Callithrix jacchus: one gene and its partners. The protein of the gene in region 2 interacts with the protein of the main gene of each other region in a pairwise test. Links are inferred from orthologs where the notes say so. Each region holds a gene or a part of one and is shown on either strand. Other genes may lie near its edges. The genes, in order: SAMD3, HSPD1, LZTS2 and TMCC2.

Region 1 (7,894 bases), on a different chromosome or scaffold from region 2:
TGGTGTGGGAAATTGGAATTCAATCTGTGATGTGGGAAGCATTTCTACCAGAACTCTCACTCTGCTGAGAGTTTCCCCTTTTATTCCTTTTGGCCCGATAAATTCCGTTTTCTCAACCTTCAAAGTGTCTGCGAGCCTAGAGCTAATATTTCATGACCGTGTGACAAAGAACCCAGCTCCTAGCTGAACTAAGGAGAGAGTTGTACAACGCTATTGCCTCCAGTGGTAGCAAGGCTGCTACCCAAAAGAATTGCCAGACATTGTTGTATGTGACAGCCACATACTTCTTATTATTATTATTATTGAGACAGACTGTCTCTCTGTTGTTCAGGCCGGAGTGCAGTGGCACGATCTCACCTCACTGCAACCTCCACCTCCTGGGTTCAAGAGATTCCCTGCCTCAGCCTCCTAAGTAGCTGGGTTTACAGGCACCTATCACACCGCCCGGCTAATTTTTTGTATTTTTAGTAGAGACAGGGTTCAGCATCTCGGCCAGGCTGGTCTTGAACTACAGACCTCATGATCCACCCACCTCGGCCTCCCAAAGTGCTAGATTACAGGTGTGAGCCACAGTACCCAACCCCTTATTTTTGTACCTCAATTTTCCTTCTTTTTTTTACCAACAGGAACTGATATTTGATCAGTGGTTTGTCCCTTCAAGTTCAGCCATGGTAGGAGATACTTTTTCTCAGGGCAGAATGAGATATTGATCCAGGAGAGGGCGTATGCTGCCAGCAAAACTTTTAGGAATCTTTTGTTGTCCCAGCTTTTGGACTTCAGAAGACAAAACTAAAAATGAAAATAGAAAGAAAGATGACAAAAAGGGTTCATGTTTTCCTTAAAAGTACTCTTTTGTGGTTGATGTTTTTATATGTTTTATATGATGTTTTATGCATTAGATTGCCCCCTGAAGATGATAAATCACGTTCACAGCAGGTGGCCCTATTATCTTCCTTTGTAATTTTAACAGATTTGTTAAATAAAGCTTGCCCATATTTAGGCTGCTTTAGCTAAAGTCTTACCTCTTCTTGGCTTTAGTTAGATGAAGCCCTTTAATACTTAATACATATTTTTTTCTTGTTTTACAATTCAATCAAATAATAAGAATGGTTTAGCAGGAGCATTCATACATAATATTATTATTAATTCTTCCTAAACATTATTGTGTCTTCAACTATTTAGGGATAATGCTTACCTTCACATTTTGAAATACTTTCAGATGTTTCTGGAGCTCAGAATAAAGCTACCAGATATATCTTTTCTCATCTGATATATAATTTGTGCCTTCATGGTTTAGAAGATCATAAATAATATATCCATTATTTATGTGAGAAGAAGTTGTACCATTACTCCTCAAAGATGTTACATTGTCTAGCTAGTGATATTGTTTCATTACCTCTCCAGAAAAGCTAATAGGCAAAAACTATATGCTTTTTTATTTTATTATGTTTGTATGAGGTTATAATTTAACCTGTTTTGTTTTTCCCGGAAGTAGAATTGTAGTAAGAATCCGCAAATTAAAAAATACGTGATCATTTCCAAGTACTCTTTTTTTTTTTCAAATTTCCTTTTATCCATCTATGGCTACAAGGTAGTATCTTCTGCTCTGCATACCTTTTAATCTTAGAGTTCAGAGAATTGTTTTACTTTTTCTTTATTTTCTATTTTTTCCCTAAGACCTACTCTTCACAAGGAAGCCAGAAGTGTGACAGAAAGGTGTGATTTTTAATTTACACCAGAGTCTTGCAAATAATGACTTTTCACACCCTGCTATTGCTGCTTAGCCTAGGGGAGGAGTTCTATGGCTACTGTTTGTCATAACAAATTAAATCCACTGCTGAAATGCAGAAAGATGTTCTTCTATATTTAACCCTTGTTTTCGATTTTTCAACTTGGTGTTTGTGAATACTTATGAGTATGAGGCTTATTTGAAGTCAAACTGTTTTCTAGGAAATGATTCTTGAAGATTATCTTTTCAGCTTGTTACATATGCAAGGTAAACGTTTTTCCCCTTTTCTACTATTCTAACTATGATGTTGGTAATTGTAACCTATTTAAATACACAAAAATGAAAAATGCAATAATAGTTCTTTTTAGAACTTCCATCAATAAAATTTAAATACATGATTAATAAGTATTTTTATCTTTCCTTATGATTCCATTTCTCCATAAGTAGCTTTTTCCTTGGTCTATATAGAATAGTCAATATCTTAATGTACAAGTGAATCTATATCATTTAGATTGTAATTTGAAATTGCCATGTAATGTTAAAAGGCTAAATGTTTTAAATTTATTTCAGTTTCTCCCTCCACCCACCCATCCTACCCCACCCTCCCACACCCCTCCCCTCACCACACCCACCTCCAAATCCATCACAAGTCCTTTGGATTGGAATTACAAAATCAAGGAATAAGCTTCCTTAGGGAAATAGTTTTAAGTTTTCTTAGTGGTTGGAGACAAGTGGCATGCAAAAATAAGTGAAACAGTTGAAGATTATATCTTGCACACTTTGCATATGCTTCTTTCACAATAATTATTAACATATTTAATTATTTTCCAATTTGAATCTGCCCAATTAAGTACAAGGTTTTCAATCTATGTGGTAGTTTATCCTAGTTATCTTACCAATCATAACAGTGTCCAATAAAGTTCTAGAACTCAGAGGGATATGTACGAGTATTATTGGAAGGAAGGACAGAAACATTCAGATTCTCCTGAGGAATTTGGGTCCTACTTTCTCCTCTTGCTAAACCAAAACGACGAGAAACAGTAAGTTACAACCTCCTTCTCCTAGCTAGGAGAAGCAAGGGGTTAACCAGTCTTGGTTTACTAAGTATTTCTGTCAGGCTTTTATCTGATCCTTCCTCCCTTCCTCCCCTGCCCACCCCTTCTGTAAATGTCAACCACTTCCTGAGGAGCCTAGTAGTGGTGAATTTCACACCTTTCTTTTCTTTGTGAAGAAACCTGGGTGTTAATGGTACAGGATTGGGTACCACTGTATGGCTCTGGCTGGCTGTTAGTAAAGCTTCGGGATGCCTATGGGAAAAAAGTAGGAGAAGGTGAAGAAATTTAAGAAATGAGATACTAGAAAATAGGTTAAATAGGGTCTTATATTTAAAATGAGAGTGTTTTCTTAGCAGTTTTTAAATGTGCATTGTAAAAATAGTAATCTTTTAAAAGCTTAACATTGAGAGTCTAAAGGAATCTAGCAAAGGAAGGGGCTGATTGTTAAAAAAAAAATTAAGGCAGGGTCAGAAAGAAAAGCTGGAGTATTCTCTGACCTTTTGCTCTACAGGTGTATTTACAGGAGACAGCCATGGAAACCTGGTCAGTTGAGCAGGTCTGCAGTTGGTTGGTGGAGAAAAATTTAGGAGAGCTAGTTCAGAGGTTTCAAGGTGAGTTGTTTATACTTTCCAAAAATTTTAATTGATCAGCCTAGATCTTCTGATGTCCTCTGTTGTTGAAATTACTTTTGTTGACAGATGTCTGTGTGCATGTAAATGTGGATGTGGAGTTGCTGCAGCAGAGAATTTTTCATTTCTTCATGGACTGTAGCGGAGTTTCTATTTGAAAGTAATGTCCACAGGAGAATATAATATGTCAAGAACTCAAATAAAGCCTTAAGGGTTACTTAAAATACGTATTTGATATATGCATTTAATATTGCTTTTGTTCTTTAATACAGTGTGTATTTTTTGTAGTATTGGGTTTACAAGGTTGCATATTGGCTAGGAGCTATTATGAAGAATAATTTCCTAAGATTAAACAATGCCTGTTAGAGAGAACTAGAATGGAGAGGGTGTTAATGTGGAAATTATAAGTTTTTATTGTGATTCCATGTTCTGGCACTTTCTTAGGAGCAGGTATTGATTTGGAATTATGCAACATCAGAGTTCTATCTTTGTCAAAAATATGGATAAATTTATAATGGCAGGGGACAAGTTTAGACGATCCTTTTATCACTGGAGATAATTTTGCTTCTTCAGAATGCCTGTGTTTTGCCAGAAAGTCATGTAGAAACTTTTTTTTTTCTTTTTCCCAGAGGAAGAAGTAAGTGGGGCCGCTCTCCTTGCACTTAATGATCGGATGGTTCAGCAACTGGTAAAGAAAATTGGGCATCAAGCTGTTCTGATGGATTTAATTAAAAAATACAAGAGGAACACTCAAGGACTGAAGTCCCCTGAAAGTCCCAAAGAGGCAGCCCTGGTCATGCAAACAGAAGCAGCCCGAGAGTGAGTATATTCATAAATGGCCTTATTTTTTTCCCCAAGCTTTCCCAATGATGGCTAGAGCATGACATCTGGGGTTTAAAGCCCTGTGAAAACTGTGACTATTTTCAGCTGGATTGTATGTACAGTATTTCTAATATCTGAGCAAAGGACACTGTAAAATTTTAGGAATCAAGAAACCTTTTTTGTTTCACCACTTTTTAAACACTGGTTCCAATCATTAGGGAAGTCCTATAGACCGAGGGGTCTACATAAAATGTTGTGGAACAAGCAGGCGAAATAGACATGTAACACAAGGAGAAAGGGGCTCCTGCGGCTCTGGTTTCTCTGGTTTTAAAATCAGCTTTTGGGGAAGGCATCTTGACTGCTCCTTTGCTTTTCCCAAAACTATTTATTAATCTATTATTTTCCAAGGATTTCTTAGAGTAACAAATTTATACTCTCCTCTGGATACCTTTACGATATAATTTGCTAAACACTTTATTGCCACATGAGTTTTCTAATTTTTTAAGGATATCCTTAGAATAGTGAGCACCATGGAACACCCCAAAAAATCATGTCGAAAAATTAGCGGTGGCCAATAAAAAGTCTGAAGTTTGGGAATGGTTTTGTTTGTTTTTTAATCACTGACTTCTGCAATGGAAAGAAAGGAAAACAGGATGTACAAGACTGAAAATTTCATTTTACATATCCATTTATGCCCCGGGATCATTTTGGCCATTCTGATTTAATTTTCCTATTTTCAAGATTTTTTGAAAGGTTTCCAAGATTAAATATTTGCTGTGAAACTATGAATAAATTTTAAAGATTGTGATGATTAATAAAGTCTATTCTCTGTTTTTACTTTGATTTTTTTGAGATTAGATAGGTAATAATAGAGATTTCTCTGTTTCTCTTTGATAAGTAATATAATGGTAGAGATCTGACATAATCAACTTTATTTCTAGAATATTTTAAAATTTGGGACATGGAGGGGAACAGGTAGCCTTGAAAGGATGGTATATAGAGCCAGACTGGAAATTCTACTAATTGACTAAAAAAAAAAATTTTCATTTTTTTTGGTTTTTATAGAGATAGGTCTCAGTCTGTTCCCCAGGCTGGAGTGCTGTGGCAGGATCATAGCTCACTGCAGCTTCAAATTCCTGGGCTCAAGCAGTTCTCCTGTTTCTGCCTCCCAAGTACTTGGGATTATAGGCACTCAACACCACACCTGTCTAATTTATAAGAAATGGTTTTCTCACTGTGTTACCCAGGCTGGTCTCCAACTCCTCGCCTCAAGCCATCCTCCTGCCTCAGCCTCCTAAAGTGCCTGGATTACAGGCAAGAGCTGCTTCATCCGATCCCTAACTGATTTATTTGAAGGACTTCTAAACATTGTTTTGGCTTATCTATGTAAAAGAGCACACTCTTGAACATGTAACTATTAATGGAGTTCCCATTGCAAGCTTTTACTCCTTCCCCAAGGAAGGGTGGGAAACTGAAAGAGAGATCAGAGTTATTTCCTTGCATTTTGGGATGAGTAGGACTTTGGAGCTGGAAGTTCCCTTCCATTGACTGGAATCTTGATATTTCTAAGGCAATATATGGATGTGTAAAATGAAATATTTAAAATCTTTCTTTCTTTTAGAAGAAAACAGGCAGTCTTGTTTCCACTGCAAATCAATTTATAATGTTCTCAACTAAAAGAGAACTGGCTGGGGTGCCAGAAAACCTGGGCTTCATTCCTGGTTCTACTACTGACTTGTATTGATTATTTTAAATGTTGGCATTCCTGTTTCTGCATCTGTGCATTGTGAAAAGTAATATGGTACTTAACTCCTGTTTAATTCACACTGATGTTAGGAGTATCACAATCTTTGAGCAGATTTGTCCTTTTTCTCCCAGACTGAAATAGTCCTGTGTTAAACTTGGTTAACCTGGTTAAGAAAGCTAGTTTCAAATGTGGCCAGAACGGGGACCATAGTTTGTCTGGGGATTTATGAGTGGAGACTTTTCACTCTATCCATAAGCAGCTGACTCACTTAGGGATTTGGGTTGTCTTGTATTTAGATTATTCTAATGCAGAATTACAATTGCATGTGAGAAGAAAAATATATCAGTTTATATTTTATATGAAATGCTTGTTGGTTATATTTGCTTATTGTCAAATATATTTATTAATTATGTTGTCACTTGACAATCATCAAGTGGGAATGACAGTAGAAAGAGGCATGAGAATACACGGTTTAATTAAACCCTTTTAGAGAGTGTTTAATAAAGGAAACTTGGTGTACAAAAGAACCCTGAAGCTAGGTATTAAAACAGCTGATTTCAACCCCCTATTGTGATATTAGCTCCTCATCTGGCCTTGGAGATTTGTCTGATCCCTTTTAGTTTTTGCTTCTTCAACTGTAAAATGAAGTGGGTAGAATAAATGATACTTTAGGTTCGTTCTAAGGAGTCTGTGATGGCATTCTAGATCAGAGCTAGCAGATAGGTTTCCATTTGAGTGCAGATTCCCTTTAATGGCTAGTGGTTGCCTGTGTGAACTCAAAAGTACCTGAGACGGGTATTAATCAATTTAGAAAGTCTATTTTGCCAAGGTTAAGGATGCACCCATGACATAGCTTCAGGAGGCACTGATGACATGTGCCCAATGCAGTCAGTACAGCTTGCTTTTATACATTTTAGGGAGATGTAAGAAAGACATCAATAAGTGTAAGATTTAGATTGGTTTGAACCGGAAGGGCAGGACAACTTAAAACTGGGGCTCAGGAGGCTGAGGCAGGAGAACTGCTTGAGCCCAGGAGGCGGAGGTTGTGGTGAGCCAAGATTGTGCTGTTGCACTCCAGCCTGGGCAACAATAGCAAACTTCCATCTCAAAAAAATAAAAAATAAAAAAATAAAAGCTGGGACTTCCAAGTAACAGGTAGATTTAAAATTTTTCTGATTGGTAGCTGGGCACAGTGGCTCATGCCCGTAATCCCACCACTTTGGGAGGTTGAGACGGGCAGATCAGTTGAGATCAGGAGTTCAAGACCAGCCTGACCAACTTGGTGAAACCCTGTCTCTACTAAAAGTACAAAAATTAACTGGACATGGTGGTAGGTGCCTGTAATTCAGGCTACTCAGGAGACTGAGGCAGGAGAATTGCTTGAACCTGGAAGCCAGAGGTTGCAGTGAGCCAACATTGCGCCACTGCTCTACAGCCTAGGCAACAGAGTGAGACTCTGTCTTAAAAAAAAATTCTGATTGGCAGTTGATTGGAAGAGTTACTATCAATAGAAAGGAATGTCTGGGTTATGATAAGGGGTTGTGTAGATGAAGGTTTTATCATGCAGATGAAGCCTCCAGGTAACAGGCTTCAGAGAGACTAGACCATAAATGTTTCTTATCAGACTTAAGGTCTGTGTCGATGTTAATGCCAGTTAGCTTTTCCTGAATTCTAAAAGGGAGGAGGGTATAATGAGGCATGTTCAACCTTCCCTTTCCATCATGGCCTGAACTTGTTTTTCAGGTTGATTTTGGAATACCTTTAGCTGAGAGGAGGAGTCCATTCAGATGGCTGGGGGGGCCTTAGAATTTTACTTTTGGTTTACACCCAGCATGTTTTCTTTTCTTTCTTTTCTTTTCTTTTTTTTTTTTTTTTTTTTTTTTGATGGAGTTTCACTCTTGTTGCCCAGGCT
Region 2 (7,136 bases):
CCTCCGCCTCCTGGGTTCAAGTGATTCTCCTGCCTCAGCCCGTGAGTAGCTGGGATTACAGGCTTGGGCCACCATGCCGTGTTACTATTTGTATTTTTAGTAGAGACGGGGTTTCACTATGTTAGCCAGGCTGATCTCGTCTGATCTCTGGTGAGCCACCCACCTGGCCCAACTGAGTTGTTTAGAATGTTACCTGTTTACTTCCCTGTTCCAGCCAAAATAATATTCTGAAAATGTATATATTTTTAACCAGAAAAACCTTAAAAACAAAACAAGATTCAAACTTGAACCCAGGAGGCTTGAGCCGAGATTGAGCCACTGCACTCCAGCCTGAGCGACAGAGTGAGACTGTCTCAAAAAAAAAAACAAAAAACAAAAAAAACAAGATTCAGTTACATACCTTCAAAATAACTGTAAACACTTGCAAAATAAAGAAAGGTACCCATGGGCTAAATTAGTCTATTCTATGAGAAAGCTGAACAAAATAGTAAAGACTGGGGAGTCCCATTCAAAAACACAAATATGAAGATACACAGAGCATATCTGATTTATACAAATACAATTCTAGATAAAAACCCAAGTAGATCATATGTGGAGGTACACATAATGGAGACTGCAAACAGCAATACAAATAATTCTTTCATCCAGAAATATAAATCATCAAATACCACTGCCTATTACCTATTCAAGACAAGTGTACTTAGAGCTTCTCCATCAACGTCTTCAGCGATTATGACCAAAGGCTTACGGTGAGCATTGGCAATTTCAAGAGCAGGTACAATCGACTGGACACTAGAAATTTTCTTTTCACTCAACAGAACATAGGCATCCTGGAATTCACATTTCTGACCTGTAAAAATAATGAAGATTTCAAAAATACACAAAATGAATACAATGTATTTAAATGAAAAGCTAAACCAAGGTTCCAACACACTTAAAAAGTGACCAGGCTGGGTGCGGTGGCTCATGCCTGTAATCCCAGCACTTTGGGAGGCTGAGGCGGGTGGATCACAAAGTTAAGAGACCATCCTGGCCTACATGGTGAAACCCTGCCTCTACCAAAAAATACAAAAATTAGCTGGGCGTGGTGACTCACGCCTGTAGTCCCAGCTACTCGTGAGGCTGGGGCAGGAGAACTGCCTGAACCCAGGAGGCAGAGACTGCGGTGAGCTGAGATTGTGCCACTGCACTCCAGCCTGGCGCCTGGCAACAGAACAAGACTCTATCTCTGGAATACACACATTTATTTTTTTAGAGGATGACACCAACTAACATCCATAGTTTGACACACGTTAGGAAAGTACGTTTAAAAAATTTTAGGAGGGTAAAACAGGGAGATCACTTGAGGCCAGGCATTCAAGACTAGTCTGGCCAACATGGCTAAACCTTATCTCTATTAAAAATACAAAAAGTAGCCGGGCACGGTAGCTCATGCCTGTAATCCCAGCACTTTGGGAGGCTGAGGTGAGCATATTGTCTAAAGTCAGGAGCTAGAGAGACCAGCCTGGCCAACGTGGTGAAACCCCATCTCTACTAAAAATACAAAAATTAGCTGAGCATGGTGGCACCTGCCTATAATTCCAGCTACTTGGGAGGCTAAGCAAGGAGAATTGCTTGAATCCGGGAGGTAGAGGTTGTGATGAGCCAACATTGCATCACTATACTCCAGCCTGGGTGACAGTGAGACTCTGCCTCAAAATGAAGAAATAAATTAAGGAAAAATAAAAATTAAATTAAATTAAAAAATTAGCCGGGCATGGTGGCACATGCTTAGATCCCAGCTGTTTTGGAGGCTGAGGCCCAAGAATCACTTGAACCCAGGAGGTGGAGGTTGCAGTAAGTCAAGGTCACAACACTGCACTCCAGACTGGGCAACAGAGAATAAGACTCTGTCTAAAAGATTTGTTTTTACCTTTTGATGTATTAATAAAGTATGGAGAAATATAGCCTCGATCAAACTTCATGCCTTCAATAATTTCTAATTCATCATTAAGTGTTTTTCCATCCTATGAAAAGACAAAGAATTAGGTATACGGATTTCAATGAACACAAAACATGAAATTACAGGCCAGATTAACAAAAATAGACCCCTTTGGTCATTAGGAATATAGGCTAGAGTATGAAAAAACCCAGGATATCCAATTTCACTTCTGCAAAAATCCCAAAAGTGCTTATTTAAATAATTCTTATGGCTAGACAATATTTAAGTTAGGATGGATTCATTTCACAAAGCAAAGGCTAATTCACGTAAAACACAGTAAGCACTTTGTTCTATACATGTGCTGAGACCACATATAAAGAAATGAAACCACACAGTATTTAAAACACATAAAATTTTTCTACTTGGAAAATTCAGTTTTGATCATCAGATAACTCATTCAAACTATTTTTAAAAACACAAACACACTTGCCTTTACTGTGATGACACCCTTTCTTCCAACCTTTTTCATTGCATCAGAGATGATATTCCCAATTTCTTTGTCTCCATTTGCAGAAATTGTAGCAACCTGAAATAGTCAAGTTGAATTAAAAGGTAAGGCTAGTGCCCTCAGTCAGTTCCCTCATCTTTTCCCAGTAACTTCCAAACTGACACTTACATTCCAGGGAGAAAATTTACGATATGGTAGTTTTCATGAAGTACTAGTTCTTTCTCTTTTTTGATTCATTAACTACACTGTTTTGAGAAACATGATATATAAAACTATTCTTTTAACAATATGTATCTTTTTACATGGCAAATCTGATACTACTAACTGACAAAACTTATGCACCTTTGACAATGGCTAAGAACATTTTCACAATCATACTAATCCATTTTACAGCCATGTAGAACTAAAATGACAACTACACATAGAAGTAAAATGACAGCTACACATAGAACTAAATGACAATCATTATGGTCAAAATTCTTTTCAAATGTTTTAGCAGTAAGAAAAAATGAGTCTAATACTGACGATTAGGTAATACTGTTATTCTGACATTGGTGTGATCGAGAAAAAAAAAACACACATGCCATAAATTTTTTTAAAAAAAGTGTAACATATTAAGTCCTTACCTGTGCAATTTCTTCGGGGGTGGTCACAGGTTTAGACTGCTTTTTAAGTTCGGCAATTACAGCATCAACAGCTAACATCACACCTAGTTCAACAATGTATGTCATTACAATGCTTATTTCTCTCAGGGCTTCTATGTCAAGTAGAAATCTTGAGATTCATAACAAATATTTTAATGACTTAAAAAAAAATTTTTTTTGAGACAGGCACTTGCTCTGTCGCCCAGGCTGGAGTGTAGTAGCACAGATCATGGCTCACTGCAGCCTTGACATCCTGGGCTCGAGGGAGTAGCTGAGACCATAGGCTCAAGGCACCATGCTCAGCTTATTTTATTTTTGTAGATTAGGTCTCACTATGTTGCCCAAGCTGGTCTTGAAATCCTGGGCTCAAGCGATCCTCCCACCTCAGCTTCCCATGTAGCTGGTACTTACAGGCATGTATCTATGCTTGGACTAAAACAAGGCAGATGTGTACAGTTCCAAGAGTCTCTCCACTGAACTCATCCTATGCAAATCATTTCTAACCCAATCATGCTGCCCGTCCCTGACACTTTTCATGTCTGTCAGATGATGCAAAAAAAGGACCAAAATGGGTAACACTCCCTTACTTTCAACAAGTATAGTTCTTAAATGATAGGAATTTGTTGTGACTATGTCTCTACAGGTGTCAATTATTTGAAATTCTTTCACTTAATTTAGTATGTATTATGAACTAACAAAATATTTGTTATACATTAGTTTTTTAAGTCTCATTTTGCTTAACTGGGAATAGTGCTAGCTCTCCTGTTTGAGAGATATACTTAAAAAAAAATCCAATGCAAGGTGTTGGGAAGTCCTCTTAATCTTAATATGTTAGTGATTTACAGTAAAACTGCTTAAGTGCAGTGTATTCACTTGACCCATAAACACTGAAATAGATAAGGTAATGATATATTAGTAATGTAGTAATACATCAGTATGTCAATTATGACAAAAAAATTATCAATAGCACCACCCCCATGACTCTCAAGAGGGTTCCAGGTTTGAACCCTAACATACTCTAGATATACATATAGCAATTCTGGTGATAGGAAAACCAAGTCTTAGCACACAGCTAATAAATGACAAAAGATGGGACTAAAATTTATCAGCTTCATACTGCCATGAAGCTCATGGTGAGGAGCAAATTAAGTTACACTCCAGTTACAAGCACTAACAAACCAATAACACAGTTTGTGCTAAGAAAAAATAAATTGTGGAAAACATTACTTTCTGATTCAGTCTAGTCTTACTTTCTACAAAACTAAACTAAAAATTAGCCAGGAATGGTGGTGAATGCCCACAGTCTCGGCTACTTGGAGGCCGAGGCAGGAGGATTGCTTGAGTTCAAGGTTACAGTGAACCATGACTGTGCCACTGTGGTCTGGCTTGGACTCTGTCCCTAAAAACAAAAGAAATCAACTAAGTAAAACATCAAAATTACCTAACAGCACCCACCACACAGTCTGGCATTCAATCACTACTTACTAAAGGAAAACCCACTTTAAGATTTCTCTAGGCCAAGAGGAGGAATGAGAGAAGGATCAATTTCCTACAGTAACAAACACTTTCCTTAGGTTCAAGGAATTAATGCCTTAAAGTATACTGAAGTTTAGAACACTGTAGTGACAACAAACATTCCTACCTCTCCTGATTTCCACTGGATTAGCACCTTTGCTAATCTTCTCGAAGCCTTCCTTGGCAATAGAGCGTGCCAGTACAGTAGCCGTGGTAGTGCCATCCCCAGCCTCTTCATTTGTGTTATTGGCAACATCTTGAACAAGTTTAGCTCCAATATTTTTATATTTATCCTTTAAGTCAATTGACTTTGCAACAGTCACACCATCTTTTGTTACTTTGGGACTTCCCCAGCTTTGCTCAATAATCACTGTTCTTCCCTAGAAGAAAAAAAAAAAGTTACTGGATCACACACACTCTAAGGGTTATTTACATGTCAAAAAATGAGCAGTTTTCATAATGAAGCAACTACTTCAAAGTCTCAACGTTTTTACCAGTCTTGCAGCATGAATCTCAAGGGCACGTTTATTAATATTCTTTGTCAACAGACAAAATGATCTGTTTCTCGGCCAAGAGCGTAATTTCGAATTAGATAATTTAGGAGATTAAGTTTTGGTTAGTGCCTGTTATCTTTGAAAGTAATGTGACCATCAAGGCAAGTAGTGTGCTCTTCCAGGTTCACTCAACATAAAACCTCAACCATGGCACAAATAGTTATTGGCCACCTTTTGGATGTGAACTAAAGCTGTTACTTTCCATTTGTGAGGTGTGTAAATATTTTATGCAGTTGTTTGGATCACTTAATATCTGAACTGTCTTCAGACTGAAATGAACACCACTTCACTGCACACCACTTTAAAGGCCTCCTCAAAATATTAACCCTATTAAATGAGACTGATTTTAAATATGCTTTGGAACAAGAGAACAGCAGAAAACCGATAGGTAAAACTAGCATTTTGGGATGAAGGAGAGAACGGTAAGCTACTGTTTAATGAGCATAAAGTTACAATTTTCCAACATAAAAAAGTTTTGGAGATGGATAGTGGCAATAATTGCACCACATAAATGTAATTAATGTCCCCAAAGTGCACACTTAATGGTGATTTTCTGTTGTGTACATTTTACTACAACAAACAAGCAAACGAAAGCACCTACAAGCACATACCTGAGGTACTAAAGGAGATAAACTCTTCCCTCTATACTTGGCATGAACTACTGGGGAAAAATCCAAATTTTAACTTAGGCAAGCAAAATTCTACCTCGAGTTTAGGAATCCACCTTGAGCTATGAGTTACTACCCGATTACATCACGCATTGTACAAAATAGTTTTGAAAATCTGGCTGAAGCACTTTTAAGCTTTAAGATCATGTCTAAGAAAAGAAAGGTTAACCAATACTTCACAACTCTTACATGTAAACTGGTTTATCTCAAAAACAGATACGAAAGTACTGTTCAATAGTTCAGTGCGACTGTTTGTGAGTAAAACGCTATTAATACTGTAATTACAATAAAATAAATAAATAAATATACGGATACCTTTGGCCCCATTGTAACAGCTACGGCATCGGCTAAAAGGTCTACACCTTGAAGCATTAAGGCTCGGGCATCTGCACCAAATTTTACATCTTTGGCGTAAGCCCGAGTGAGATGAGGAGCCAGGACCCTGGAAACCGGTCTCATCTGGCGAAAGACGGTGGGTAACCGAAGCATTTCTGGGGATGGAAGCAAATATATAATCAGTACTACCACCCGTGGTGCTCTGCTGCACAAACATGCCCACCTGTGCAACAGAGAAAACAACCTGAGATGCTGAGCCTGGCTGACCTCCGCCAGCTTCTACGCCTGGACTACGGAAGGCGCCGCAGCTACGAACATCAGCCACTAGCGCAAGCTAAAGAGGCCGCCCCGGAGCCTGACCTATAGCACTAGCACAAAGCACACGCAGCTCCTTCCCCTATTCCTGCCGCCCAAAACGAGTTAATCTTTCACTGTGAAAACGGCCTTGAGGAGAGACCCACTCCAACGATGGCCCCTAAGAAACCAAGTCAGCCGGAGAAAGGCAAGTTACAAATCCGAGTGACCAGGGAAGTTAAAAGTATTCCTAACGGTGCAAAAAGCCGCTTAGCAAAGTGTCTCCACGTATCCACCCAGGGCTACACTGTATCAGAACAGACTGCAAAGCCGCGATGCTGGGGGCGGCAGCCAGGCCCATTCCGCGCGGGCCCACGTGTCTCTCTTTCCGAACGCCCCCAGCAAGGTCAAGAGTGGAAGCACAGTATTCCAGCTGCCTGCGGGGGAAAAAAGCGGTTACCTCGCGGACACCACCCTCCCCGGTCCCTAAAGCGTCAGCCAGGCGCAGGCTGCACCAGCGGGCCTAAGTGGTTACAATCCCCCAAATTCCAACCCCATCAAAGCTGTCCCTCCTGCCCCTAGCCGGGGTCCAAGATCCGGTTGCACGTGATGGAATCGCATGGACCCGCGAGGCCTAGAACCGCGGGCCTTGGCCTGCGGAGCAGAAGTGCAGGCTGTCGTTGCCGGCACCCTTCG
Region 3 (7,644 bases), on a different chromosome or scaffold from region 2:
CCACAGTGCCCAATGTAGGTCTAAACAGGGCTAAGGATTGAGTTCACTCAGCAGAGATGCTGAGGTAATGACCACAAGGCCACTTGGCAGCAAAGACCCAGGCCCAAGCCCAATCCTGCATCCTCCCCAGAGGCCAGGACTCAGGTGAGGGAGGGGCCCTCTCTAGCAGCTCCCAGCACAGGTCTCTGGCCCTCTGAGCCAGGTGGCCTCATTACAGGGTAGTCTGGGCAGAGGCACCTCAAGGTTGCAATCAGCACCTGAGATGGTAATTAGGGAATAAAGAGCCAAGGCCAGGCAGTGCCCTGCCTCCCCCTGCTGGGCCTCAGTTTCTCCCAGAGAGGCGGCTAAACTGCCTCTCTGTGGATCTGGCTAAATAAGAAACCCATGGCTCTTAGGGAGTCCACAGGTGTCCTTCAGGGTCTCCTGCCTCCCAGAGGTGGATGCAGGCTCATACCAGTTTCCATGACAACTCCTAGCCTCTGCACATCCAATCAGGCCTAAAGGAGCCTCCACAGGCTCTGCCCCACTACCAACCTCTGTGAAACCCTACGGCTTTAGAAGGTCCCCAGAGAAACCCTGAGGGGAGGAAGGTAGATGCCCCGCCTTCACCTTTGTCGGCTGCTCCAAAGCCTCACTTCCAGGGAGCCCAGGCAAGAGGGCTCCACCTCCCCAGGCCCTGCTCCTTCCAGGAAGCAGATGTGAGCCTCCACCCGGAACCCCCTCCCTACTCCCAGTCCTGAGGCCACTGATGACCAGGACTTAGGCATCTGCTGAAGTCATCATGCAGAGCGGGGCCAAGAAGTGGACAGAGAATTGCACTGGGAGTAGGAGTGTGTGCATTTAGTTATTTGTTGTGTGACTACATGCACAGGAGCATGGAAATGAACACCATGTGTATATACGAAAATGTGTGTGAAAATATGAATGTGAGTCTATGCATGTTTGATGTTATCAGCACATTCACACACGAGTTCCCGTGTGAATTCACATGTGTATATCTTACAAAAGTACATGGGTAAGGGGTCATTCTTAGAAAGCCTGTGAAAGTTATAAATGTGAATTTGTGGTGTGTGGATGAGACGGTGCCTGGACAGATGCGTCAGCATATGAGTTTATGTGTGAGCTCCTAAGTGTTTGAGTGTGTGACTAGAAAGGTGAGTGCACCAGGGTGTGCAGGTGAGCCTGTAAATGTGGGCAGGTAGGTACCAGAGTGGTGGGAGCCTGGGTGGCTTGAGGACCAGCTGGTGAAGGGAGCCTCTTTCCTTCCCCCTCTGGCATGTGGGGAGAGGTGGGACATTAACTCCTTTGCCTGATCTGTTCCCCTTCTTTCTCGTATGCGCTCCATTAAATCCACTGCCCTCCTTCCCACCCAAGTCAAAAGACACTGCGAACCAGGAAGAGGTGTTCAGGCTGGGGCCAGAGCTGTGGGGAGCTGGGGGAGGGGTGAGCCAGGCCCAGGGAGCAATCACAGGCCTCTATGCAGGGCTGCAGCTCAGACCACCCCACCGGTCTCAGCCCCGAGCAGAGCAGATAGAGAACCCCTTCCCCTCCCCTCCCGTCTCTGGGTCCACTCCAGGGTATGGAAAGAACAGTGGGGAAGGGACTTAGGGGGCCCAGGGGGCTGGCACCTCTGCTGTATTTCCCCACTTCATCGAGCAGGGAGAAAGTGAAAACTGAAGGAAGGAGACAGACTCAGAGAAAGACAGGAACCCAAAAGAGACAAAGACTCGGAGAGGCCCGAGGGTCAGGCTGACAAGGAGAAAGCCAGGCAGACCCAGTGAGCCAGGGCCCCCCAACCCCATGGAGCCGAGGGCCCCTAAGTCCAAAGTGCCACAGAGCTGGGCCCTGAGAGCCACACACCCAGGGAGCCAGAGCCAGGAGTCTGGAAAGCCAGGCCCAGCCGGCCCGGCTCCCGCTCTTGGAGCCCGAGAGAGAAGGAGGGGCAAGTGGCGGCTCCATTTTGAGAAATGCGTTTGTGGCTGTGGGAGATGGGAACCCCTCATTCTCCTCAGCACTCCCTAAGCAATCACTCTGACCCAGGAGCATCCCCCTTTTAGCGGGCTGTGGGGAGCGGAGGGCTGGAGCTCGTCCAGGGCCGGCGAGGGGTCTGAAGAGTTGGGCAAAGTCTCCCTCCCACCCAAACTCCAAGAACCAGTCAAGCGGGGTCAAGTCTGCGATCACGAGTTCCCGCTCCGCGGCGGGAAGCGGGGAGCCCCCAACCCATTCTCCAGGGGCCAGACCCGCTTCAAGAAAGTGGGGGCGGCTGGGCAATGCCCTCTCCCCGCTGGACTCCACCGCGCAGAAGTTGGGGGCGCCCCAGGCCGCCTCCCAGCCCCGGCCCCCCCTCACCTCCGCCGCGCTGCTCCATGCTCAGCCCCAGGCCGCCCCCAGCGCTCCACAGGCGCGCCGCCCGGCTCCGGCCCCGATCCCGGCCCGCGCGCCGCCACTCCGAGCGGCCCGGGCCGGCCCCGCCTCCGCCTCCGCGGCGCCCCCCGGCCCAGGCCAGCCCCCGCCCAGTGCGAGTGGGCGGCGCTGCGCAAGGGAGGGTCCGAGGGCCGTCCCCGCCCCGGGCCGCGGACACGCTCCGGCACCCGCGTCACGCGAGTCCGCCGGGGCGCACGTAGGGGCTGCTCGGCGGCAGTCGGGAGCCCTCCTTCCGACGCCCTGTGACTGCGTGTCCGGGGACTTGGCTCGGCTCGGCGGCGGCGGTCACCCTCCGCCCCAGCCCGGGCCCGGGGGCCGGCGGCAGCTGGTCATTGTTACAGCACAAAGAGCCCCGGCGAGGCGGCGGCGGCCGCCCCTCCCCCTCGGCTTCTCCAGGCGAAAATTCCCTGACACGCTCTCAGCCTCAGGGTCCCAAGCAGGAGGCCGAGGGCCGGCCGCCCCCCACTCTCCGGTCCGGGGGCCCCGCGCCCTAGCGTGAGACGGTGGCCAAAGCTCGGTCCGCGCCTGCCCCACCCGCGGCGGGTTGCAGGCGGCAACCTGGGCTTCGCGGAGGCGGCGCCACCTGGCGGCCGACTCGAAGAACACACTCAGCCTCCCCCCACCACACTGGCCCTGTCCCACTCCCCGGCACGGTGTCCTTTCCCCCGCGAACCCAGGCCGGCCTCCCCTTGGGATCACTTTTTAAAAAGAGAGGCCATTTCTCAGAGAGGGGCAGTCCTGGCTCCCCAATATCACTGGGCGAGCCGGTTCCAGCCTACAGCCCAAACCTACACCAGCCTCACGGCAAACAACATTCCACTTTCTCAGGATCGCAGACATTTTCACCTTCTCGCGCACAACACAGTCCCTAACACCCACACGACCTTTCCCATAGGCAGCCTCACCACGCAGCCACAAGCAGTCTCAGCTGTCACGTGGGACCGCGTTCCTTCTTTCCATAATCTTCCAGTCCATGTCACACACAGACACGGTGTCACAGGCCTGTTGTGGAGAGGCTTCCACAATTCGCAGTCCTTCGCACCCAGTCACAGTCTCAAATGCACTTAGTCTCCTGGCCATCTTTCACACATTGACAGCCTCTATTGACATTCACTCACACGGACAACTTCTTACACACACGCCGTGCTTCACAAATATCCTATAGCACAGCCTTTCCCTTAAGGGTCTCGGTGACCCGGTCAGGTCAGCTGATGCCTGCATCCCTGGGCAAAGACAGCCTTTCTCCCCTAAGGACTCCCTCCCCCCCAGGGCCAAGGCCTGCCAGAGCTCGTCCGGGCCCCAGGAAGGAGCATCCCCCCCTTCCAGGCCACAGCCCTGGCCCGCTCTCAGCTCTATTTTTAGCTCTATGGATAGGGTTGTTTTTCTTTCTTTTTCCCTGGAAAGGGAAACACAGCCCAGCCACCCTCAGACTCACCCCAGACCCTCAGCCTCACAAGAACAGACTGAGCCCCTCTCCCCAGCAAAGCCCCCTCCTCTGGCCTTGCCCTGATCCCTGCCTCCTGGGGCACAGAGAGCCTCCTCCTCTTTCTGGCAGCCTGCCCATCTCAGGCAGCAGCTGGGCTCAGCGTGTGTGTGTAGGGGTGGGGGGGTGGGGCGGGGAAAAGGAATCAAGCTACTGCCCACTCCCTCATTCCCTGGGGGGAGGAGCTCGCCCTCCTTTTGCTAGGGGGGTAGGCCCACTCCAGTATTGAGGGGGCGTTTACACTCATGAATTTTCTCGGGGGAGGAGACTCGGAATCCCACAAAGAGTGGAAGTGAGGGTAGGAAGGGGACCCTCAGGCGCTCAGACAGCTGCTCTCTGGGCTGGGGTTAATAGGCGGGGGCAGCTGTCCACTGTCATCAAGGGCCTGTCTCCGAAACTTTCCGGGATGTAGACACCAAGAATGTGCTGGGAAGAAGGACGTCCAGGAGCCCGAGTTACCCCGGCCCTGCCCAGCAGCCCGGCCCTCCTGCTCCGCCCCGGCTCCAGGGGGCGCTGTGCTCCGGTGCCTGGGAGAGGGTTTATCCCGGCTCCAGGCGGAGAATGGAACGCCGTCCGGCCTGGGACCAGGCAAACGCGCCCGGGACTGGGGTTGGGGTCCCCGCCCCGTGGTGGGGTTGGGAGCACTGGCCACTGATCTGCGGAGCGATCACGTGCGCCACGCCTGTTTACGTCTTGGTCTTCACCTGCGGGCGGCCAGGAAGCAGGAACCTCTGGGTGCGTCCCACCCGGCCCGCCTCCATTGCGGGCACGGGGCTGCCCCTTTCCCCCACCCAATACGCGACCGCAGAGTGTCCTGGCCGCTGGGGGTACGCGCGCGCCGGCTGGCGCTGTCCCTGGGAGTGCAAGGGTAGCCAACTGGGCGCGTCCTTTCCGAGTGCTTGTGTATTCGCATGTCCCAAGTGCGGGCGTGGGTCTGTGCACGCGTGTGTGGGGACCCGTTGGCATGCGTTTCCGTGTCGCTTCCCTGTTCTGACTCTTCGCCTGCGCCCGACCCCACTCCTCATCCCCACCCCCAGCTTCTCCAGAAGCGGAAAGTTCGCTCTGGAGCGGGGATGTGCAGGAGGCGGGAGTTCCTGCACCTCCGCCGCCCACCACTCACCCAGCGCCAGCTGCGCCTCGGCTACAGCTCCGGCGCCGCTCCTGCTCCAACGCGCTCGCCTCCTCGCTGCGACAACGCCGGCTCCCTAGCTCGCTCCGAACTCTGGGCTCCGGGCTCCGGGCTCCCGGCTCCCGGCTCCCGGCGCCCGCCTGGCAGGACCTGGTGGAGCAGAGCGGGGCGGGGCAGGGCGGCTCAGGCCGCGCCCCCCACCCGGGGAGGGGAGTGGTCTGCCCCGCACCCCACCAACAGCCGACCCAGTGCCCAGCCCAACAGTGGCTAGACAGTGGCGGAGGATGCCTCTCTGGCCTCTGACTTCACAGCTTACCGGACTTGGTTTTCCACCTGGGGAAAAGGGGCGATCATCACGTGACCGAGAATTCTGCTACCTGGCTGCCTTAACTAAGCTGCCTATAGAGCCTGACTCCGCCACTCTCCCCCCTGCTCGGTTGGGAGCCCAACCAGTCCACTCTGGGCCCAATACCCAAGTACAAGGAAAACCCCTGGGAAGCACACAAAGAAGACTTGAGTTTCACCAGAGCAGCTCCCACCTACCCCCACCATGCACACACCTCACTTGGGGCCGCCCAAGCAGAACCAGCACAGCCCCCTCCCTGGAGTAGGTGTCTGCCCAGGTGAGCAGGCCTGCCGGTTTTGACCTCCCAGGGGGCATGGCTGGGCTTCTTTTAGACTCATAAAGTCCCACCCACAGGCACAAACAGGAAGTTGGCCTGTATTGCAAGGAGGCCCCAAGGGCTCCCTCCCACCATGTCACTCAAGGCAGCATGTGGGTAGGTCTACAGGTACTTGGGCCATATGAGCTGCAGGAGACCTCGGTGAGTTGTGGCTTCTGAAATCCATCCACTGCAGAGAATAAGCTGCTGGAGGACCAAAGCTGACCCCTCACAGCCAAGTATGACACACACTGTCCATCACAGGACAGGGCTGCAGATGCAACTGAACCTGACTCAGCCAGGCCTTTCCTGAATTCTCAGGGAGATTTTTTTGAAATGTTTTTTTCTTCCCAATCCACCGAACCTGCGAGTCAGGGAGATTCTTACCATCCAGTTGGCTGTAGGCAGACCAGTCCTGTCCCAGGAAATCTGCATAGGCCCTAGGGACACCGCACTGCTTTCTAGAATCCAGGGATCTGAATAGACTAGGCCTGATCATGACATGGGGTGTTTAAGGCAGGCATGGAGTAGAATGTGTCTGTGCAGGCAGTGGGGCTGGGGGGTTATTGGCTTCCCCTCCCCATCATTCTGGTTTGTGCTGTGTGGGGGTGTATACTAGAAGGGTGGGGCAAGACAAACAGGCAAGTCTGTATCTATCCCTCTATTCCCAGTTCACAGAGACCTAACAAAGGTCCCCTACTGAAAACTTCTAAAGGATCTCCTGAGAACCCACCAGGCATTCCAAGGAGACAGGAATGTGGAACCCACATCTTCCCAGGTAGGACACATCTGGTATTGTGCCTCTGGAAGACATGGCTGGGCTGCTGTTCAATAGTACAGGCTCTGGATGAGGCCTAGAACAGCCAACGGCTGGGAATGATTACTGTGGGATTAGGGAGGCCTGGCTCCAGCCAGTCTGGGAGAGACCCCCAAGAAGGGAGGCCCTAGAGGAGCTCTCCCAACCCACAGGTTCTTCCTCACAGACAGCAGCTTTCCAGCAGCCTTGCTCCCCATGTTTCAGGAGACATTTGTGGCCACAGTTCTCACTCCAGAGACCACAGACCCCTCCACCAGTCCCAGAAGCCCCTTCTTAGGTTGAAAGGAAGACCTTCACAAGGCAGCCCTGCTTCCAAAGGGAGCAAGAAACCTTCCCCCAAACCTTACAAAAGGATTCTCCCCAGCCCTCTCAGAACATCTTGCATTCTCACGACTCTTTCAGGCAAATCCAAAGGGAAACTGGGACTTCTGGATATCAGAGGACGAGAGATGAGAAGGTGTCATCATTTAGGCATATTTCTGACAGTGCCTCTGGATCACTTATTTTACAGTCTCCTCCAGGGCTTGCTAGATATGAGGATTACTGTATCCCTCCTCAAATTTCCAGAATGACAAATGTATGTGGTGGAGGATGGGAGAATGGGGCCCAGGTTCTACATTTTTCACAGATCTCCAGGAGTTCTGGCACACATGAACGTAAAAGAATCAAGGAGAGGGTACGGGAGATGGAGGGGGGTAGAGAGAATATGTTGAGTCTAAGTCCACTAGGGAGGTGAGTGGCTCACATCACAGAGGAATGGCCAGTCAGGGAGGGCCCGGGCATGTGGCCCAGGAATGAGCACCTGTGCAGGAGTCACTCAAGATCCTCAGGGAAGTTAGGCATGAGGACAGACCATCTTGCTTTCCCTAGGCCAAGAAGAGATGGAAAGGGGAGGTGGGGTGTGAAGGCCCCTTAATGTCCCTGCTTCCTCGGAAGCCCACCGCTCAAAGGCTGCAAGCAGTGGGAGGGAACCCATTTATTCCCAGTCCTGAGAGGGAAATTCAGCTACGGACTGGGGAGACACCTGGTGGATGAATAAGAAAAAGCACAGAAACAGAGGCAATGAAAAAATATTTTAGTAAAACTGGAAAAGGCTCTACAAAACGTCCTAACTCCAGGTGTCTGAGGC
Region 4 (7,136 bases), on a different chromosome or scaffold from region 2:
GCTCCTCCAGCTCTCAATTTCACAAAGCCACGCCACCCTTTTAGCCAAAGCATGCAGAGCTCCTCACTCTGAGAACAGACTTCTCCCCAGTGGAGGCTGGGCTTGCAAATGGTTCAGTCCCATCATTTTAAATACTATCTATATGCTGACAACTCCCAAATTTATGCCTCTAGCTTGGATCTCTCCCCAGAACTCCAGACTCGTACAGCTGACTGCTTATTTGCCATTTCCACGTGGATGTTTAATAGTCACTTCAAACTGAACCTAGCTCTGATTTCTGCCCCCCACCCCCATCCCTTGCCAGGTACTCATTCCATTTGCATCTTCCTTGACTCAGATAATAGCCATTTCTTCTTTCCGGCTGCCAGGCTGCAAATCTGTGAGCCACATTTAACTCCTCCCTTTCTGTCATGCCCATATAAAATCATCAGAAACCTTTGTGACTTGATCTTTGAAGCCAATCCAGAATCCAGCTACTCTGCTCCACCCCCAGAGTAGTTCAACAGCTTCTGAACCAGATGCTCTGCTCACACCTGGTTCACAGCACTTTGGGAGGCTGAGGAAGCTGGACCACCTGAGGTCAGGAGTTTGAGACCAGCCTGGCCAACATGGCGAAACCCCATCTCTACTAAAAATATAAATATTAGCTGAACAAGGTGGTGGGCACCTGTAATCCCAGCTACTCGGAAGGCTGAGGCACGAGAATAGCTTGAACCCAGGAGGTGGAGGTTGCAGTGAGCCGAGATGGATGACAGAGCAAGACTCCGTCTCAAAAGAAAAAAAAATTGGGATATCATCACCTGGCTTAGCTATCTCACAGGATGGCTTTAATGAATTCATGAAACAATGTCTACAAAAGCACTTTCTATGCTGGAAAAGTGAAAGACCAAACCTGAGCTGCTATACAGTGCCGGGCACAAGGCATACACACAAATGCCTGTTGAATGAATGAACATCCAAACATTTTCAAATGTCAACATGCACAAAAACTTGAGAAACAGTCTGTGTTGACGAGAAGACAATTTAAAATCGTGTGTGGAGACAGGTCTGCTCTGGTGATCATTTAAGGTAAAAAGAGCTTTACACCAGAGTTTCCCTTGGAACTTTGATGCTGGAAAACCCACAAGGCCTCACATCCCCCAAATGTAGAACTGTTTGGTCTTCATCATGTCTCCTACTCTCACTTCCACTTGAGCCATCTTCTCTTTCATCTGCCCTCCCACTGGCCCTTCCAGATTCTTCCTTCCACAACAAACAAGCTGCCTCCGGGCTTTTACTGCAGCTCCACCTGCTCTGGAACCCTCATTCATCGCAGTGACCTTTTCTTGCTCTTTCTCCCTCATTTCGGCCATGTGGAGATGGGACCTGCATTCGACTGCACTCAGTGTTGCTTCAGCCCAGCCTCCTTGGAGGTCCCTGCCATTCCACTCTTTTTCCCCAGCCTCCAGTCATCAAAGCCACCTGCTGCCCTCCTTCCTGACCACTGCCCTGGGGGGCATCTCCAGGTCATATGGACAGCTCATCCCACAACCTAACCTCTCAGCTCTCCCCACTGCAAATTATCTTTCCATTCATTCCTTGTCTGCCATGCTCTATGAGTATATTCTGCCCTTTGTCTTCCCCATCCCACCCCCAAGTCGTACACTCCCATGTCCTCTCCTGTCTCTCTCACTCCTCTTTATTCTTAATGCACCTGCTCCCCCACTCCCTCAGTACCCTCATCTCCTTTTCTCCACATTCAGCCTTCTCCTATCCCCACCTCCTTCTCTACCAGCCAAGGTTTCAAGGTCCAACCCTTTGAGCATTCTCTGACCCCCCCAACTCCGTTGTCACCCTTGACCTTTCAACATGCCCTCCCAGCAACCCCCAACCCTGGATTAGCCTGATAATCCTGCAGCTGTGTTCCTACCCTATGGCTAGGACCACTAGAGAGAAAATAAATCACAACTGCTAGGCTGCTGCCAGCACAAATTACAAGCCTCTACAACACCAGACAGGTCACCCGTGAGTTCCTGCTCAGAGCCTTGCTCTGCCCCAAGCCAAAACCTTTACTGCCCTCCTCCAGCCAGTCCTTCCACCTCCCCCACTACTCTCAATAAACAGTTGTTTGTACCTTTGCTTTCTTCCTCCATAGAAAATAAAAACAAAGTAAGAATTCATTTCTGCCTGACAGAGGTGACTCTTTGTGACCGAGAATGATGCTGAATTCTGGATCTCACACCCTCTCACCTACTCACTGACATCACCCCAATGAGAATTCCCCTTCCTCACTGCTATCTTTGATCTCTCCCTAATAGGGCCCTCTCCAGCCACATGGAAGTGTACTCAGGCGCTTCCCAACTTAAAAAAGCCAACAAAAACCAGACTGCCTCCACCTGATGTCCTCCCTCTTTACAGCCAAGCTACACACCTGACTCCACTTCCACCGTCTCCTTAATCCACTGAAACTGGCTTCAGTCACGGTTCCCAATGGCAGCCACTGCTTGCTACTGCCTGTGCACATTTCCAAACCCAGATGTGACCTGCTCCTTCTATGCATTTCACTCTGATTACTTCCTCCTCCTTCAAGCTCCTTTTCCTTTTGCTCTGCTGCAAGTTCACTTCCACACATCTGACTCCTCTCTCTCAGGCTCCTGGTGCTTGGCCTGTCACTTACATGTCAGTTGGATCTGTCCATGGCCTCCTTCTCATTCAACACATCCTCCTTTGAAGATCTCACTCACACCCATGATTTCAACCTCAGTGCCAGCTCCCAGAGCACTGGCCCTGGCCCAGGCCCCTACTCCACAGACCCAACTGCCATCTGGTCCTCCCTAGTTGGACAGCTCCCAAAGGCACTTGCAACTCAACAGGTCCAAAACTGAACTCATCACCCTTCCCACAAAACATGCCCTGTGATTCCTTAACTAGAGAATTCCCCATTTCTAAAGCCACTAAGCCTATAACCTTAGAATCATCCTCGACACCTCCCTTTCCTCTGTCTCCTATTTTGTTTCTCACCCACTACCTCTGACTTTCACTCTCAAACATTTTCTGCACATGGTGCCTTCTTTCCATCCACACTGCTGCAGCCTAGACTACTGCACTAGCTCTAAAACCTCCTTGACTCCAGTCCTGTGATCCCTTCCCAATCTACTTTTTTTTTTTTTGAGACGAGTCTCACTCTGTCTCCCAGGCTAGAGTGCAGTGGCGCGATCTTGACTCACTGCAACCTCTGCCTCCCGGGTTCAAGCGATTCTCCTGCCTCAGCCTCCCAAGTAGCTGGGAGTACAGGCACCCACCACCACGCCTGGCTAATTTTCGTACTTTTAGTAGAGACGGGGTTTTACCATGTTGGCCAGGGTGATCTCGAACTCCTGACCTCAAAGTGATCCACCTGCCTCCCAAAGTGCTGGGATTACAGGTGTGAACCACCACGCCTGGCCCCAATCTACTCTTTATATTGGGATCCAGAGGGATCTCATCCTGCCAGTTTCCTGCCTAGCACCCTTTGATAGCTTCACACTACTCCCAGACTCAACATGGCAAGGCCTTTTGTGATGTGGCCTCTGCCTACCTGTCAAACCCCAAAAGTGCTAGATGCTCTGGCTACAATGAACCTCTAGTAGCCCACAGCACCTGATTGAGTGCTTTTGTACATACTATGCCCTCCCTTCCCCCTACCCCTCTCCCAGTTCTTCCCTGGCTAAATTATTCAGCTCAACAGTTTCGTTTCCTCCAGCAGGTCTCTGCTAGCTACCTGCTCCCTCCTCAAGTCCCCTCTCCCTTGAAGCTCCCACAGCAGCTCTCATCTCTGTCCATTCACCCACTCGTCCCCCTCTAGAGTGAGCTCCACAAGATGGCAACACTGGCTTGTTCATTCTTGTAGCACAAAGCAAAGATTCAATAGATACTTCTTGCATGAATAAAAGAACAAATATATAAATCATGAAGTGCCAAACTAGCTTTTCTCCTTCCCAAATCACCCTTCATGGACTCCCTGTCTTCTTTGGTTGGTGAAAATAGCAAAAATGATACTACACCAGGCTCTATTCCAAGTATTTTACATATATTAACTCATTTAGTCTTATAACTGTCCTATTATTATCCCCATTTTCTTTTTTTTTTGAGACAGAGTTTTGCTCTTGTTACCCAGGCTGGAGTGCAATGGTGCGATCTCGGCTCACCACAACCTTCGCCTCCTGGGTTCAGGCAATTCTCCTGCCTCAGCCTCCTGAGTAGCTGGAATTATAGGCACGCACCACCATGCCCAGCTAATTTTTTGTATTTTTAGTAGAGACGGGGTTTCACCATGTTGACCAGGATGGTCTTGATCTCTTGACCTAGTGATCCACCCACCTTGGCCTCCCAAAGTGCTGGGATTACAGGCGTGAGCCACCGCGTCCAGCCTTATTATCCCCATTTTCAATTAGTCAAACAGGCACAAAAAGGTTAACTTAGTGAGCAGCAGACACAGGGTTGGTTCCAGTCTGTGTATTGAACTACTATACCTAATGCCTCTTGATAGCACATTTAAGGAAAACAAGTCAACATTAATATCAGTATGAGCAAAATGCAATTTTGAAAAACAAAGCCCTAAAGAAACAAAAATTAGCCATTCGGGGAATCATTCTAGTCATACCTGACTCCTTTAACCAAGGCAGACAACTCTGTAGGCAGCAGGGTGTCATATCTGCCAGGCAGGGCCCCAGCTCAGCTCCCCAGGTCTCCAGGCCCCTCAGCAGACAGCCTCCCCTTACCCCTGAAGGCCCACCTCACCTTGTCCCCGATGCCTTCGGCTTCCTCAGCCAGCAGGTACACGTTGCTGCCGTCGGCCAGCAGCAGAGCAGTGTCAGTGGTGGAGGAAGAGCGGGGACGGCACTGGTGCTGGTGCAGGATGGCGGCTAGACTGCTGTCCTGGGGGGCCTTGCGCAGCAGGTGAGGGCTGCCACGCTGGGGCTCCAGGGAGCTACTCTTTGTGCGCCGGCTGCTGCTCCCGCTGCTGCTGCCCCCACTGCTGCTGTGCAGGCTGGCACCCCGCTTGATGGAGGGCCGGGAGCGGATCTGCTGCAGCACGCGGTTGAAGGCAGTGGGCCGGGCAGGCAGATCGTGCAGGGACATGGCATAGGAGACACGGTGCATCTCCGGAGAGCGCTCCTTCTCATCTGGGGAGTCATGGTCGGACATGCCCTGCTGCTGCTGCTGCTGCTGCTGCTGCTGCTGGGAATCCTGAGATGTCTGGTGCTCCCTTTCCCGAGACCGGCGGCGGCTGTGGAACAGGTGCTTCAGACCGTGGCCAAACATGGAGCCCTCTGACAGCTGCTGGATTTTCTTAAAGGGGAGAGATGAAGAACGCTGGTGAGTGGAAAGCTCTTGATTGCCCAGTCAGTTGGGGGTGAAGGTGAAGGGTCTATCCTTGGTAGACTGGCATAGCTAATGCAGCCATCTGAACCTGGAAGATCCCCATGGATGGCCTGTCATGCCTAAAAGGTCAGTTTGAGAAAAGGTAGCAACCCAGACCCATCCTTTCATTCCCAAAGAGATGTGCCCCCATGGTTTTCCACCAGACATTCCCAATCAAAGTGTGGGTTGTGAGTTTCTATGAATGATGTTCTCAGGGCTTCAGTCTGGGGCTAGTGGCACACAAAGCACTTTGCTGATGGGGTTGTATCCCTCTAGATTGATCCCCCTGCTCCCGGTCCTTCCCTCCTTCCAGGCTAGGCATCCCTTCAAGCTGTACTAGCTCTTTCAGGCCACCAAACATCAATTTCCAAAGATCCCTAATTCCAACACTCCCCTAAGAGAATCAGGGTCATACAATCAGGTTATATTGTTGTAGCAGACACTGCTAATTGCCTACCCAATATCTATTTCTCTTTCTTTCTTACCAACCAAACTGCAAGGACTTAATGCACCTTGCTAAAAATTCCTACTTCGTCAGACTCCCTTGCAGCTAGGAATAGTCACATGACAACAGTTTGGGCCAATGAAAAGCAAGGTGAGAGTTTCTGGGAACACTTCTGGTTTCCTGATAAAGGCACTGGCCCTTCCTACTACATCTTCCCATCTGGAATGGGAATGTAGTGTCTGGAGATGCAGCGGCCATTCTGCAGCCACAAGGTAACATGATTGACAATGAAGGCCTGCACACAGATGGTGGAGCCCAAGGGACAGGCCTGGGAACTTGAAAGTCTGTGGAGCCACCAAACCAGTTGTGAACACCTATCCTGGGATTCTTGTTGCATGAAATAAACCTATCTTTGTCTACACAACTCTAGTATGATTTTCTGTTATTTGCAGCCAATTTCATTCCTGATATAGTTGGCAATGAAATAAACTTTACTTCTTTGAGCAAACCTTGTGACATAGTCAGTAATATGACCAATTCTTTAGCACACACATCAGAACAAGCTATCCAAATGAGTGTCTTTCCCCTTAAACCCAAAGCACAGAGGCCGGGCAACCCAGTGCTGCCCGGGCCACAGCCTTTCCTCTTAGCCCTGCCACTGAGATTCTCCAGCTGCTTTTCCGGCAAGACTGCTCACAAAGAGACAGCTGGACGGCCTGCCAGGACAAGCAACTGTGGTATAATTCCAGACAGCTGCTTCTGTCAGGGGATGGCTTATCTGGCCAGGCTGAGCCCTCTATGAGAGCTTTGGAGCCATTGGGAGGAGGAATGAGACTTGGAGGACCAGGAGACACCTCACACTCTGCAGCTCCTTAGAGGAAAACTCAGAACTCAGCCATTTGGGACTTAATGAGCCATAGCAGGATTTCCTGTGAGGAACAACCCACAATCCTACCAGGCAGCCTAAGTCATTTAAAAAATGTTCCAAAAAATTACACAGACTGGATTTGCTGTTTCTTCTCCCCCTTGAAATAAACTTATAGAGCAGAAAATCTAGACCATATAGGAACCAAGGAAAAGCAACCTTATAGCTTCTGAATTAGCTGGCCCCACTCTTAGGTTACTATGCAACTCAGCCTTGATTTTGTACAGATGGCTGCACTTATAGCTGGATACAAATAACTATACTATCATATAGTTGTCTAAAATTTTAGGATTTTCATTTTTCACCTCATCTGAGCAGCCCCAGAATTCTCAAAGTAGGAGAGGCCCTTACATCACCCATTTTACAGACCAGATAAATTACATA

Evidence for each region.
Region 1: the proteins of HSPD1 (region 2) and SAMD3 interact in binary tests that used the Homo sapiens proteins (3 or more experiments, as listed by UniProt). The two-hybrid records come from large-scale screens. The link is inferred for Callithrix jacchus from reciprocal best matches to the Homo sapiens genes HSPD1 and SAMD3.
Region 3: the proteins of HSPD1 (region 2) and LZTS2 interact in binary tests that used the Homo sapiens proteins (3 or more experiments, as listed by UniProt). The two-hybrid records come from large-scale screens. The link is inferred for Callithrix jacchus from reciprocal best matches to the Homo sapiens genes HSPD1 and LZTS2.
Region 4: the proteins of HSPD1 (region 2) and TMCC2 interact in a two-hybrid assay, tested with the Homo sapiens proteins (2 studies listed by BioGRID). The two-hybrid records come from large-scale screens. The link is inferred for Callithrix jacchus from reciprocal best matches to the Homo sapiens genes HSPD1 and TMCC2.

What each region holds. Positions count from the first base shown.
Region 1 is NC_133505.1:136,825,566-136,833,459, reverse strand, and holds the start of SAMD3 (sterile alpha motif domain-containing protein 3), read left to right. Parts: upstream 1-2,954; 5' UTR 2,955-3,316; coding exon 3,317-3,395; intron 3,396-4,042; coding exon 4,043-4,232; intron 4,233-7,894.
Region 2 is NC_133507.1:118,454,852-118,461,987, forward strand, and holds part of HSPD1 (60 kDa heat shock protein, mitochondrial), read right to left. Parts: exon of another isoform or gene 6,994-7,136; intron 6,773-6,993; exon of another isoform or gene 6,391-6,772; intron 6,302-6,390; 5' UTR 6,300-6,301; coding exon 6,126-6,299; intron 4,969-6,125; coding exon 4,716-4,968; intron 3,139-4,715; coding exon 3,056-3,138; intron 2,508-3,055; coding exon 2,412-2,507; intron 2,007-2,411; coding exon 1,913-2,006; intron 851-1,912; coding exon 682-850; intron 1-681. UniProt on the Homo sapiens protein: Chaperonin implicated in mitochondrial protein import and macromolecular assembly. Together with Hsp10, facilitates the correct folding of imported proteins.
Region 3 is NC_133513.1:93,951,436-93,959,079, reverse strand, and holds the start of LZTS2 (leucine zipper putative tumor suppressor 2), read right to left. Parts: upstream 5,189-7,644; 5' UTR 5,028-5,188; intron 3,992-5,027; exon of another isoform or gene 3,860-3,991; intron 3,692-3,859; exon of another isoform or gene 3,330-3,691; intron 2,477-3,329; exon of another isoform or gene 2,350-2,476; intron 1-2,349. UniProt on the Homo sapiens protein: Negative regulator of katanin-mediated microtubule severing and release from the centrosome. Required for central spindle formation and the completion of cytokinesis.
Region 4 is NC_133520.1:32,733,720-32,740,855, reverse strand, and holds part of TMCC2 (transmembrane and coiled-coil domains protein 2), read right to left. Parts: intron 5,311-7,136; coding exon 4,759-5,310; intron 1-4,758.